3 linked regions of the Daphnia pulex genome follow. The main gene of each other region encodes a partner of the protein of the gene in region 2 in a complex. Links are inferred from orthologs where the notes say so. Each region holds a gene or a part of one and is shown on either strand. Other genes may lie near its edges. The genes, in order: exosome complex component CSL4-like, exosome complex component RRP43-like and exosome complex component RRP40-like.

Evidence for each region.
Region 1: exosome complex component RRP43-like (region 2) and exosome complex component CSL4-like share a complex: the UniProt entries of both Homo sapiens proteins name them as parts of the RNA exosome core complex. The link is inferred for Daphnia pulex from reciprocal best matches to the Homo sapiens genes EXOSC8 and EXOSC1.
Region 3: exosome complex component RRP43-like (region 2) and exosome complex component RRP40-like share a complex: the UniProt entries of both Homo sapiens proteins name them as parts of the RNA exosome core complex. The link is inferred for Daphnia pulex from reciprocal best matches to the Homo sapiens genes EXOSC8 and EXOSC3.

Annotation. Positions count from the first base shown.
Region 1 is NC_060026.1:7,115,938-7,118,923, reverse strand, and holds exosome complex component CSL4-like, read left to right. Parts: upstream 1-1,298; 5' UTR 1,299-1,317; coding exon 1,318-1,453; intron 1,454-1,513; coding exon 1,514-1,632; intron 1,633-1,727; coding exon 1,728-1,797; intron 1,798-1,853; coding exon 1,854-2,032; intron 2,033-2,115; coding exon 2,116-2,322; 3' UTR 2,323-2,351; downstream 2,352-2,986. Other genes in the region: protein SERAC1-like, read left to right, coding at 2,486-2,553, 2,627-2,952. UniProt on the Homo sapiens protein: Non-catalytic component of the RNA exosome complex which has 3'->5' exoribonuclease activity and participates in a multitude of cellular RNA processing and degradation events.
Region 2 is NC_060025.1:4,770,248-4,774,413, reverse strand, and holds exosome complex component RRP43-like, read right to left. Parts: upstream 2,840-4,166; 5' UTR 2,704-2,839; intron 1,554-2,703; exon of another isoform or gene 1,475-1,553; 5' UTR 1,413-1,474; coding exon 1,396-1,412; intron 1,337-1,395; coding exon 1,162-1,336; intron 1,101-1,161; coding exon 806-1,100; intron 740-805; coding exon 619-739; intron 552-618; coding exon 448-551; intron 390-447; coding exon 271-389; 3' UTR 211-270; downstream 1-210. UniProt on the Homo sapiens protein: Non-catalytic component of the RNA exosome complex which has 3'->5' exoribonuclease activity and participates in a multitude of cellular RNA processing and degradation events.
Region 3 is NC_060019.1:5,895,189-5,899,349, forward strand, and holds the start of exosome complex component RRP40-like, read right to left. Parts: upstream 2,951-4,161; 5' UTR 2,865-2,950; intron 2,864-2,864; exon of another isoform or gene 2,802-2,863; 5' UTR 2,721-2,801; exon of another isoform or gene 2,483-2,720; intron 2,409-2,482; exon of another isoform or gene 2,322-2,408; intron 247-2,321; exon of another isoform or gene 50-246; intron 1-49. UniProt on the Homo sapiens protein: Non-catalytic component of the RNA exosome complex which has 3'->5' exoribonuclease activity and participates in a multitude of cellular RNA processing and degradation events.

The sequences.
Region 1 (2,986 bases), on a different chromosome or scaffold from region 2:
AAAAAAAATCATAAACATCCCTTCGGATACCTTGCTAATAACGCAGGTAGCTGACATCATATCGTGACATGTGTTTTTCGAAAAAATAAAATTTTTGTCATAAAATTTGTTTGTAATTTTACCCTATGCATCTTATTTTAAAAACCCAAACCAAACCTAAAAGTTTTACCATTAAGATTGTTCTTGGTTCAGAAAGGCTACCAATAGCCGTCGCCAGGTGGCGGTTTTAGCACTGACAGGGCAATAGCTCTCTATGGCTATTGCCCTGTCGGACCGGCATGGCAATAGATTTCACGCAATTTGCTGGGACATGGCAGCTTTGTCAGGGGTATGGAGAGAAAGGTATGGGGGTCTTTCCATACCCCTGGCTTTGTTAAACACACTTTCCGTACCATGTCGAGAGTAGGCATGGTCGAGAGTACTCAAGGCATCATCTTATTGGGTAAAATGTGGCATCACGTGACTTTTGGCAACGTCTATTGGGAGATTGACTGTGTGCATGGACTACTCTAATTAAGGACGGGATTCTTCGCCTATCCTGCCTTGTTAAAGCTAGTCGGGTGGGGTATTTTCATGAAAACATTAATAAAAAATATCATTAAATTCAGTTTTTTTTGCTGATTCCAACTATAGATATAAATCTTAGTGAAATAAACTAATCATTAAGATATTATAAATTTACTTTCAGAAGTAGGGGTAAAAGGATAAAACACCGGTGCCATCTAGCAACCAAACACCCTAAGCTCTTAAGAATATACGCTACAAGGTAAAATATAGTTAGGCAGCTATGTCAGAGGACTAGATAAGAGAGTGGTTTTTTCTTTCTCTCGGTATGCATGCATGGGCATCTGCTTGCAAACTAACAAGAGCTTAGGAGGTTTGGTTCCTAGATGGCACTGGTGTTTTGCCCTATTTCAAATTTTTCGTTAAGGAATTGGAAATATCTCTATAAAAATAAATGTTAGGTATAGGGCTCTTCGGGATCTGTTTTATTTAGCCGATTTATCTGGCAACGCAGCATGGTTCGAGACTTTTTTAGGGCGAGAACGGGGAGAAGAGGGAGAATGGGAGGACACCCTCCTCCCTCCCATTCCTCCCATCCTCCCTCTTCTCCCCGTTCTAGCCCTAAAAAAGTCTCGAACCATGCTGCGTTGCCAGATAAATCGGCTAAATAAAACAGATCCCGAAGAGCCCTATAGGAACATATGGTAATTCTATGATAATTTTTAAATTCTGATTCTGATTCTCCCACAAAAAAATTTACATGGCCGACATAGGAAACGCCGAAGAATATACCGTCCTTAATTAGAGTAGTTCATGCTGTGTGCACACTTAACGAACCCCACCCGTGAGCCGCCCAGCAGTCGACGTTTTTTTCTAACTTCGAAGTTGTTCTGGTGTGCGAAAAAAATGACGAATAAAGAATCAGACAAATGTGTAATATGCACTCCCGGTAATATTAAAAAACATATTTTTTTAGTTGTCATTTTGATAAAATGTTTGCATTTTTCAGGACAACGCATATGTCTGTCGGATAACCAATATATTGGAGGAGCCGGAACTTACACAAGACAAGGTTATATCACATCATGTTTAGCAGGTGTTGTTAAAGTAACTTCACAACCTGATAAGGTTAGTGGTTAAACAGTGAAATTAGATCAGTGAAACAATTCATTTGGTGTGAAATAATGAACTTCCGAATATTATGTTCAAACTTTTCTTCCTAGAGAATCCTGATAGAGGTTAGAAGTGGTAAAGAACAGACAGTTGTTCCATCTGCTGGTGATGTGGTTACAGGTACTGTTTAAATTATGTGTTGAATTTTGTGAATTTCATCTTAAACCTTTAAATAGCCAGAGTAACACAAATAAATCCTCGCTGGGCACGATGTGCCATTTTGTGTGTTAAGGACATTGTATTGGCAGAACCCTTTAGAGGACAGCTGAGGAAAGAAGATGTGCGTGCTACAGAAAAGGACAGGGTTGAAATGTACAAATGTTTTCGTCCCAATGACATTATTTTAGCAAGAGTGGTAATTATTTGATTTTGATCATTATTTCAACTGTAAAGTGAGTATGACTTCTAAGATGAAATTTTTTTTCATGTTGCTGTTAGCTCTCATTAGGTGATGCACATTCCTATGTTTTGTCAACAGCAGAAAATGAATTGGGTGTTGTTATAGCATACAGTGAAGAAGGTACTCCTATGGTTCCAGTAGGATGGCAAGAAATGCAGTGCCCAAAAACTTATGTTAAAGAATTGAGAAAAGTTGCAAAAGTTTCGCCAGAAACAATTTCAAACGAAAATGCAACAGGCGTCTAGATTATATTAATACATGAAATTTGACAACAAAGCTTTTCGGATTTTATTTTATTGGTGTTTTGTCGACTGCTTGCGTTTCTGTTCAATTCATTTCATTTTCTCCAAGTTCCTTTTTTCTAATCATAATTTATATTCTTATAGTTTTTTCAAGCATGTAAATAAAATGAGGAAACATCGCCAAGTGAAATGGAAAAATTTGCCGAAATCTCTAGCTGTCATTTTTATAATTGGGTATTTCAATTCCTAGCGAGTTCTTGTAATCAGCATATAGAAAACTACAATGTATCTTTTCTTTTTTATGAAGAGGAGGAACTACTCTGGCATACCAAATTCATTCTTTAAACCGCCGGTTTTCATCTTTATTGTCAGATGCCGCAGTTGAGAGAGAACGTCAAAAGGCTGGGTGCTATATTGCTATTCCTCAAACTGTAATTGAAACTGAGATTCATGCTATGACCTCTAAACTGAAAAATGTTGAACAAATGGTGGAGACTCTTATGAAGGGACCAACACATCTTGGTCTTGATTCAAATCCCTGGCATCTTCTTCGAATTCTTAAATCAGAACTCCCTTCTCATACTCAAGAACACTCCACTGCTTTAAAAACATTGGCTACTTCACATTATAATGGTATCTTCAAATATATTATTTACAGATTATGGTT
Region 2 (4,166 bases):
GGCTATTTATATATTCTACTTGGTATCGATTTTTTTAATACTGTTAATTACTTGTTTCGGCTAGTGCCTCCAGGATTATTATTAACATGTTGTATGAATCATTCCTGTGATGATAGCTCACGCGAGTTAAATACATCGGTTACGTAAAATTGAAAGTAGTTGAATGTTTTTAATCATGAAGTAAAAAATTTAGATTGAGAAAACTTTGAATTGAAACTGACATTTGAAACTGTATTATTTTCAATACCAAACAAGGAATGACGAACAATTTCATCGTTCAGCAATAGATGATGAACAAGCCTCTTCAATCAATCTTGCAACCTCCTTTGTTTTCAATTCTGATTGCTGAATAAGTTTTTTCACCTGTTTCTCATCTAAAGTACATCCTCCTGTAAAGTCAAGGGAAGGTTATGTCCAAATTTAAGAACATCATAGAAATTTTTTTACCTGGCTTATACATATGTGTAACTGAAGTACCCTCCATGGTAATAGATGTTAATCCAGCAGCCAACTGCTCCTCTTCAAATGTAGGATCACTGATCAAAATACCACTGTTCAAAATAATGAGAAATCATGATTTCATAGAAGTTTCTTCATGTTTTTTTTTTAAGCACATACTTATCAAATAAGGAGAATGTTGATGTAACTGGCTGCTTAATTGTGTCAAAACTCATTTTTTCATTTGGGTTGGAAACTAGTTTGTCCATCTCCTCATCATAACTCACAATGGGAAGTTTCACTGTAATGAATCAGTGAATGAATTAGATTATAGAAAATAAAACATAAAACTTTAGAATAGAATTACAATTTTTCAGTGCAGCTACTAATGCCATCACACAAGCATCTAGTAAACTCCCATCAAGGTTAATGCAGAGTAGATCACAATGAAGAACCCAAGCCCATTTTGAAACCTTTATGCACAATGTTTCCAAGTCCATAATAATATTGTTATTGACTAATTCAGCTATAAACTGGGTAGCAGCTTGAGCTGTTTCTCCAGGAGGGCCAGATTTTATTTGTGAAGAACATAAGGATGGCAGTGTCACATTTGGGATGATGAAGCCTTTAGAAGGCTCCTCTCTTTCTGGAGCAGCTAGTTCCTGGATTTGATAGATTATTGTTGATAATAGTTTTTGAAAAAAATAGTTATGAGTGTTTTACAGCTTTGATGCCACAAATGACAGTAGTATTTCCACATTTGACAATAGCTGAGCCATCAGCTGTTCCTATGGAACCAGCATTTAGAGTCATTTTTCTGAATTCCAGCAGTTTCCGACCGTCTGGGCGTGACTTGCGATCAAGGAAAGTCTTGTAAAATTCCAATGGTTGCAGTGTTCTGAATTAAGAGGTTGATATCAAAGTGCCCGCAAAAAAACTTCATAAAACATGACTTACTTGTGGTCAGTTGCCATGTTTAAATTTGTATTGGAAATAGAATCAACGCATACAGTGACGTGATGCGTAATCGGAAACACTAAATTGTAATTAAACAGAACATATATTAGTTTTGGAGTACTGAGTTTACACTGACGTAAGTGAAATAATTCATTACCAAATTGTAGTGATGTTTCGTTAGTGCTTTTTCTAAACGTTAGCGTTATCCGTTAAGTTAACGATGTCCAATTTTTTCACGTTCGTTAACGCCGTTAATTAACGCCGTTAAAAATGTCTCCGTTAACGAAAATTCGACGTTATTTTTACCGTTATTTAATAAAAAAATTGCACTATCAAATCACTGAAATCAGTCACGGTCTTGATTACTTATATTTAAATTGCTGCTGGCGTTGAACAATGTCACAATGAAGCAATGATCAACTAAAAAAAACAGAAACTGCGGATTAAATAAACGCACAGACAAAAGAAAAAAAAACAAGTTCCAACTAAAAAAGTAAAGGCCTCAATAAATCCTTATTGCAAGTGAGGAAGACTTTTGCGGCCAAAACTTCTTCCGCCGTCCTATTTTTGTGTCCTAGACAGTGCCATCCGGCAATGGAAAATTCGCGTTCAGATGATGCCGAAGAAACTGGTATAACCAGTAAATTATAGGCCATTTTGGATAATTAGGGGAAACGACCAGACAAATCCTTCCAGTAAGAGATCACATCTTGAACTGGTGGATCCTTAGAAGGATCAAATTCATGACTTGCAAAGTGGAAGTTGTCTAAAAGTTCAGTTTCAATGCAGTCGAGGGAAGTGGCTAGAAGGTAGGAGCAGTCGAAATCAGGATCTCTTTAATCTGTCATGAAATTAAATCTTCTTTCGAGATCTTCTAACATCGCAGATGCCACGCTTATTCACCGTCAACAGGAGCATCAGAGTCTGAATCTGACATTAAAGATTTACACTCTGATTCTAGTTGTTTCCCTACTCTACTTATACAGTTTCGTTTGCCACGTTTTGAAAGCAAAAAAAAACCTCAGAGAAGCTAAGAAGACTACTGCTCACTGTCATTGGCTATTTAAATTCGTTTTCATAGTCAACCTACTACAGTAAAATGTTGGAAGCGCGCAAAAAATACAAATTTCATTTTGAAAAATCCAAAAATTTCATATTTGGCAGCGCTGTTAAAAACAAAAATAACGTCTGAAAATAACGTCTGAAAAATGCCAAACGTTAGCGTTATCCGTTAAGTTAACGAACCCCAAAAAAGGTCCGTTAACGGACTTTTCACGTTATCCGTTATCGTTAACGAAACATCACTACCAAATTGAATTTCAAAGGTTCAAACAATAATAGTAGGTAGCAGACGACGTAAAATCTAAAAGCATGGCCAAGCAACGTTGTCAGAAATTAAAAAGTGTGTGTTGCTTACTTGCTTAGTTGCTTCCTGTTTGCTGCTGTTTCCTGTTTGCGAGATTAAATAAAACCGATTGGCAGAAAATCAGCAGATAACACTTGAAGGATATTTTTCCTAAATATATAGAAAAAAACGTTCGACTCTCGAAATACCGGTCACCTTTAGAATTTAATGAACTTTTTTGGCATCAATATGGTAATGGGGTTGTAGACAGAAATAGTTCTGTCTGACGGCAAAAAATCGGTAAATTCTGTGGGAACAAGATAACTTGATATCGTAAAACCCAAAAGGTAAAAAAGTTTGGAAAATACCGAAAATCAGTACAACAACGGTTCATATCGCACAATTAGTAGGTTGCCTTTCAAATCCAAAAACCTCATTTATGTACCTCATTTAGTAAACTGTTAACTAGCTCAAGTCAGGAGTTATTTTACTTATTTATTTTTTTACAAAACAATTTGTGCATAAAGAATGCTTGAGTGAAAATGGTGTCAGGGAAAAATGTCGTGAAATAAAAAACAATTTGTGGACTAATGTCTACAGATGCCATCAGTAACATTAGATGTTATGATTTTTCAATCGTGCGTACCGTTTTAGTACCTTAGGAAAGGTGACATTCCACAGTTCAAAGTGAACTGTATCCACTTGGCCTGTTCATTCTTAAAATAAATCCAAGGGATGGAATCTCTCGCAATCCCGCGACAGTACACGCGTGTAGTGCTATTGTTCAGAATATGAGGCGCGTACCGCAACAGCCTTAAAATAAAATTTCCCGTCGCATACGCCGGCCGATTAATATATACTCTTAGCGAATTAATATGGAGTAGAAATTGAAATTTTTCGGTGGAGGGTTTCGAAATGTAATTTTAAACGTCCTCGGGTGGAATAGGCGAGGTCTGCTGTGTTCAGTCATATCGAACCCCAAGGACATTCTTTGTCTGTTATTCAGGAAAGTCCTCATGGTCGTTCTTGAGAAAACCCTTTATTGATGACGGGGACGTTAGCTCTTTTTAAGTTTGCATGTAACAACACCTTCGCCGTCCGAGGAAAAAAAATTCATAAAAGAGAAAATCAGCACATAGCTACCGAACCAAAGACGTCTTTACTTTATAGAAAGTGAGTTAGTAGAAGCTGCCAAGGTCGAGTTAAAAACGCAAAAGCTTTCGTCGATTGCTTTAGTCATGGTTGAGCTTTATTTCGACCCATAAATGATCAAGCTCAAACTCGATTTGATTTGATTTATTTACACCTTTCTTATCATCATCATTTTGGACAGCCAAAGATTTGATTAAAACAGGTTTTGTCAACTACCCAAGTCCTCCACTAGGTGGACAACCAATCGATTCATTTTTTTCTTTCAGGTGGCTCT
Region 3 (4,161 bases), on a different chromosome or scaffold from region 2:
TTTAAAGAAAAGAGTAAATCTGACTATGTTGTTTCAAACTTAATTCTAGGTCCTGTTGCCCAAGATGAAATTTGTGCAACGAGAAGATTACCCCTCACTCATCCAACAAAGTGGGGCACGCTGAACTCTAGAATAAAAAAGCTTTACAAATATTTGAATACCAAAACAAAGTCACCCTTCTGGAAACATGCTTAGTGAATTTGTGTTTAAAGCAGTAATAAAAAAAATACATGAATAATAATTTTATTATAAATTGCTTATTATCTGAAATCTGAATGCACATTGTGTAATTAATTAGACTTCCAAGTTGAAAAGGCTCACTTTTGAAACAATAATTGCACTTCACACAGAATTCATGTACAGCAAGGTAACAATAAAGAAAAACGATAAGTCTAATCGAGAGGGGATATTACATGATGTTAGTCGTCGAGCTCGTTGATTTCCAGCTCAACGGAGAAGACGGCTTCCCAACGATATCGTACAGCTTCAATCTAATATGTTCAAAACATTAGTAGGATAAATAAAGGATTAATAATAAGACGGGACAAAACAAAGGAGGGAATCAAAATTTAATCACCAGTTGATCAACCGCCTCTCTAGTAGCCAAAGAAACTGTCCATTCGAGAAAATAATACCGGATCTGTTCCGGTTTGCTTACGATTACTTCGAAGTTTTCCTGAATAAAGAAAACAACCAAATGTAATGCAGGTGAAATAGACAAGATATTGGCCGTCATTTTACCAAAGAGACGAGATTGACAAGTTGCTGAAGGCTGAGAAGCGACCCTCTCCCCCTCCCACCCCACGTTCAAAACTGAACTTGATGGCTCGTCAGCCAACGAGGATCACCACATACTAAAACCATACGATAACTTGTGACCATCAAGGCTGTGTTGCTATAACTGGCCGTTTGCTGGTGATTTTTCTGTTGCTTACTATTGCCCCATTCGACCCGTCAGTTTACACAAAAGAGGAAGACGCGAGAATTGCTATCCGGCATGAATCGGGTACTCGTCCTCGTAGATCCTACACTACACCGTCCGTTTCACCTTCATCCGCAGATCCCGTCAAAACAGTGTCCTGATCTCCTCTGACGGAGTCCAATCAAAGCCAGCCATTGATCCGCCATGAGTACCGTCCTTAACGGCGGAACAGTAAATCCGGATTTCTCAAGAATATCTAAACCGCAGAATATTAGCTAAATAAAAGAACAACACAATAAAAATGATTTACCAGTGAGAAAGTGAGTCACGCGTTCTTGGTTCGTCTTTGATCACGAAGCAAAATGAGGTGAGACCAACTCGTTCCGAACTTCAGAACAACACCTCGGTTACCGATGACGATTAACATGTTAACTAGTTGATTAAGCGGGTAACTTGTTTCCAAACTGAGCCACTTTTCTGGCTGCTCACTGTTAATAGAAGCGAGTCGCATGATTTTATCCACAACCACCTCGACTTCCTTCTTCCGAAGTGTCGGAAGCCTCCTTACCGCTGATGGTGGGTGAAGACGGTTCATTGGATGCTACGATGACGTCACTGCCCGGAAGATTACTCGAGGATGGAGTTGATTCAGACCCAGACACGTCATTATTAGGAACTACAACTGGGCTTTGCTGCTGCTGCTGTTTACGACCTATTAACAAGGCATCAAATAAAACTGTTTGATCTAACACAAGAGAACTGCGTTACCTTTCAAAAGAGGAGAATAAACTGTAGAACATCGCAGCTGGATAGCCGCTCCAATCAAAGGGAATTTTCGGTCGCATTTCATGCAGCTCATATCGTCTCTCAATAATCGATCCTCTCTCTCCGGATTGGCAACTTTTGACGATGACCCAGAGCAGCTAGCGAAAATCTTTTCCAGCTCCTAGAACAAAGGAAAATTAGTAACAAGATTTGACATTTCAACACGTAAATGATAATAAGACATTAAAATCGTCTTGTTCCTTGCGTCGCTACTATTGCGAATTGATTATAGCACAGTTAAAAATCTTGAGAAAGATATGAAGAAAAATATTGTGAGGTTACACACCACTGGTATCACACTGAATGTTTTTTCTTTCGTGTGAATGGTCAAATGTTTTCAGACAGTTTAAGTATTTGTGCGGACATTACGGACGGGCCAGTTTTTCATCAGTGATCTCGTATGTTGACGTAAGTTGGATCGGTCGTAAAAACGTCACATTTAAAGGGCTTCACTCCCTGATGTTGCCAGGATGACGTGAAGTCGCAAATAATCACTGCCTAAAAATGTTTTCACACATGTATCACAATTCACAGGTGCTAGCTTGGTCCCATAGTACATATTCATATGTCATACCAAAACATTCTTGTGATGAAAAGACTTTCAAGCATCTTTACATCCATATTTTCTTTGGTGTGTTGTGTCACTAAGCTCAGGATATTCCTGTAAAGAAAATATAATTATTAATGCTAAACCGTTTAGCATTAATAATTGTGACATTTTATCAAAATTATAACCTTATTGAATGCTTCCAAGTTAAAATCATCATCTCCATTCTCATCTCCGTTGGAGCTCCCTTCAGGGTTATCTTCTGCTGCTTCCTCACTCTCCCTTTTTATGTCATCAAAATTTTCTCTCACCTCAAAGATTGCAGGAGGCTCATTATCATTTTTTACAGCTTGTTTTATCATCTACAATGAAATTGGGATCACTTTTTCTTGCCTGTTTAAAATACACATCAAAATTAAGTCACACCATATCCGAGTCCATCTGCAGTGTCACTTCTTTAAGCACCTGTCTTGCGATATGGACCAGGCTTCCAATCTTTGTTCCAATCTATAAGGTTTTGAATGCAATTTGAGATTTAGTATATCAATACATAATTATATATTCTTCTACCCTAAAAAGAGGAAAGGCTGCTCAAAAAAAAGGAAAAAAAAAGTGTCTTTGATCTTGGCCTTGCTTTTGTTTACAGCTGTCGTCTGCTAAAGCGGCGGTTAAGCACTTGAAGATGACAGTCGTAACGATGGCAACCAAACGCGATGATTACACCAGATAACACGTAGATCATGTTTTGATTGTTTTTTAATTAAAGAACTCGAGGAAGGGAGTTCGCCTTGCACCTTCGTAGAGACCTGACGTGCATTCTCTTCTCTCTCTCAAAGTGCCAGCAGACTCACGTACTCACCGTATATACGCCCCCCGCTTTATTCCGACAGACAAACACGCGCGACCCCCCCCCCCCCCCCCACAGGCCCCCGTGTCAAAGCAATTTCCGCGCCAGGTGCCACCAACAAAATGGCCGACCGTGATGCCCCACCGCGTTCGAAAAGACCGTGCAACTCAACAGACCACCCCCTCCCTGTGATAATCAAACTCATGGATGACCGTCCAAACTTCAAATCAATGTCCTTAGCAGAACGTGAGGCCATGCGAAAAGCCATTTGCACAGCCATTGGGGACCCCCGGGACTCCACGGTACTCCCAGGCGGCGACCTATCCGTCAGCCCTACTGACTTGCAACAACAACAAGTACTACTCAACATCAAGACCCTGGCAGGCAGACCAACATCTAGCACTCTGCCCACCCGGTCAACAGCGAGGAAGGTAGGAGTAATTTTTGGTATCCCGATAAGTGACGCGGAGGAGGAGATTCTGGAAGCTCTAGCAGACCAGCACGTGACACATGTCAAACGGCTCCCGATCCGCAACTCACCAGGCTCCCCCTCGACAACAGTATCACTTACCTTCTTGAAAGAGGTCCCAGACAGGATCAAGATAGCGTCAATCAGCTACCCAGTAAAGGTATCGGTACCAAACCCATACAGATGCAGGAACTGTTGGAGACTCGGCCACACCGCCAACAGGTGCAACGCTAATGGCCCTAACTGCAAAAGATGTGGCAAACAACAACACGAGACACACCAAGAATGCTCAAGAAGGTGTATTAACTGCAACAACGGAGATCATGAAGCAGACAGCGATCAATGCCCTGCATACCAACAAATGAAGAGCATTATTAAAATGGCCTACCTGGAGGAAATCACCATACAAGAAGCTCGATCCCGCCACGCAAATCTGTACAGCTCAGTAACCAATCGAACCCCCACCCCAACCAACCGCCCCGCACCGCCGCCAACCCCAAGGAATGACCTGACAACCCTACAGGACCAAATAAAGGCCATCCAACAAGAGA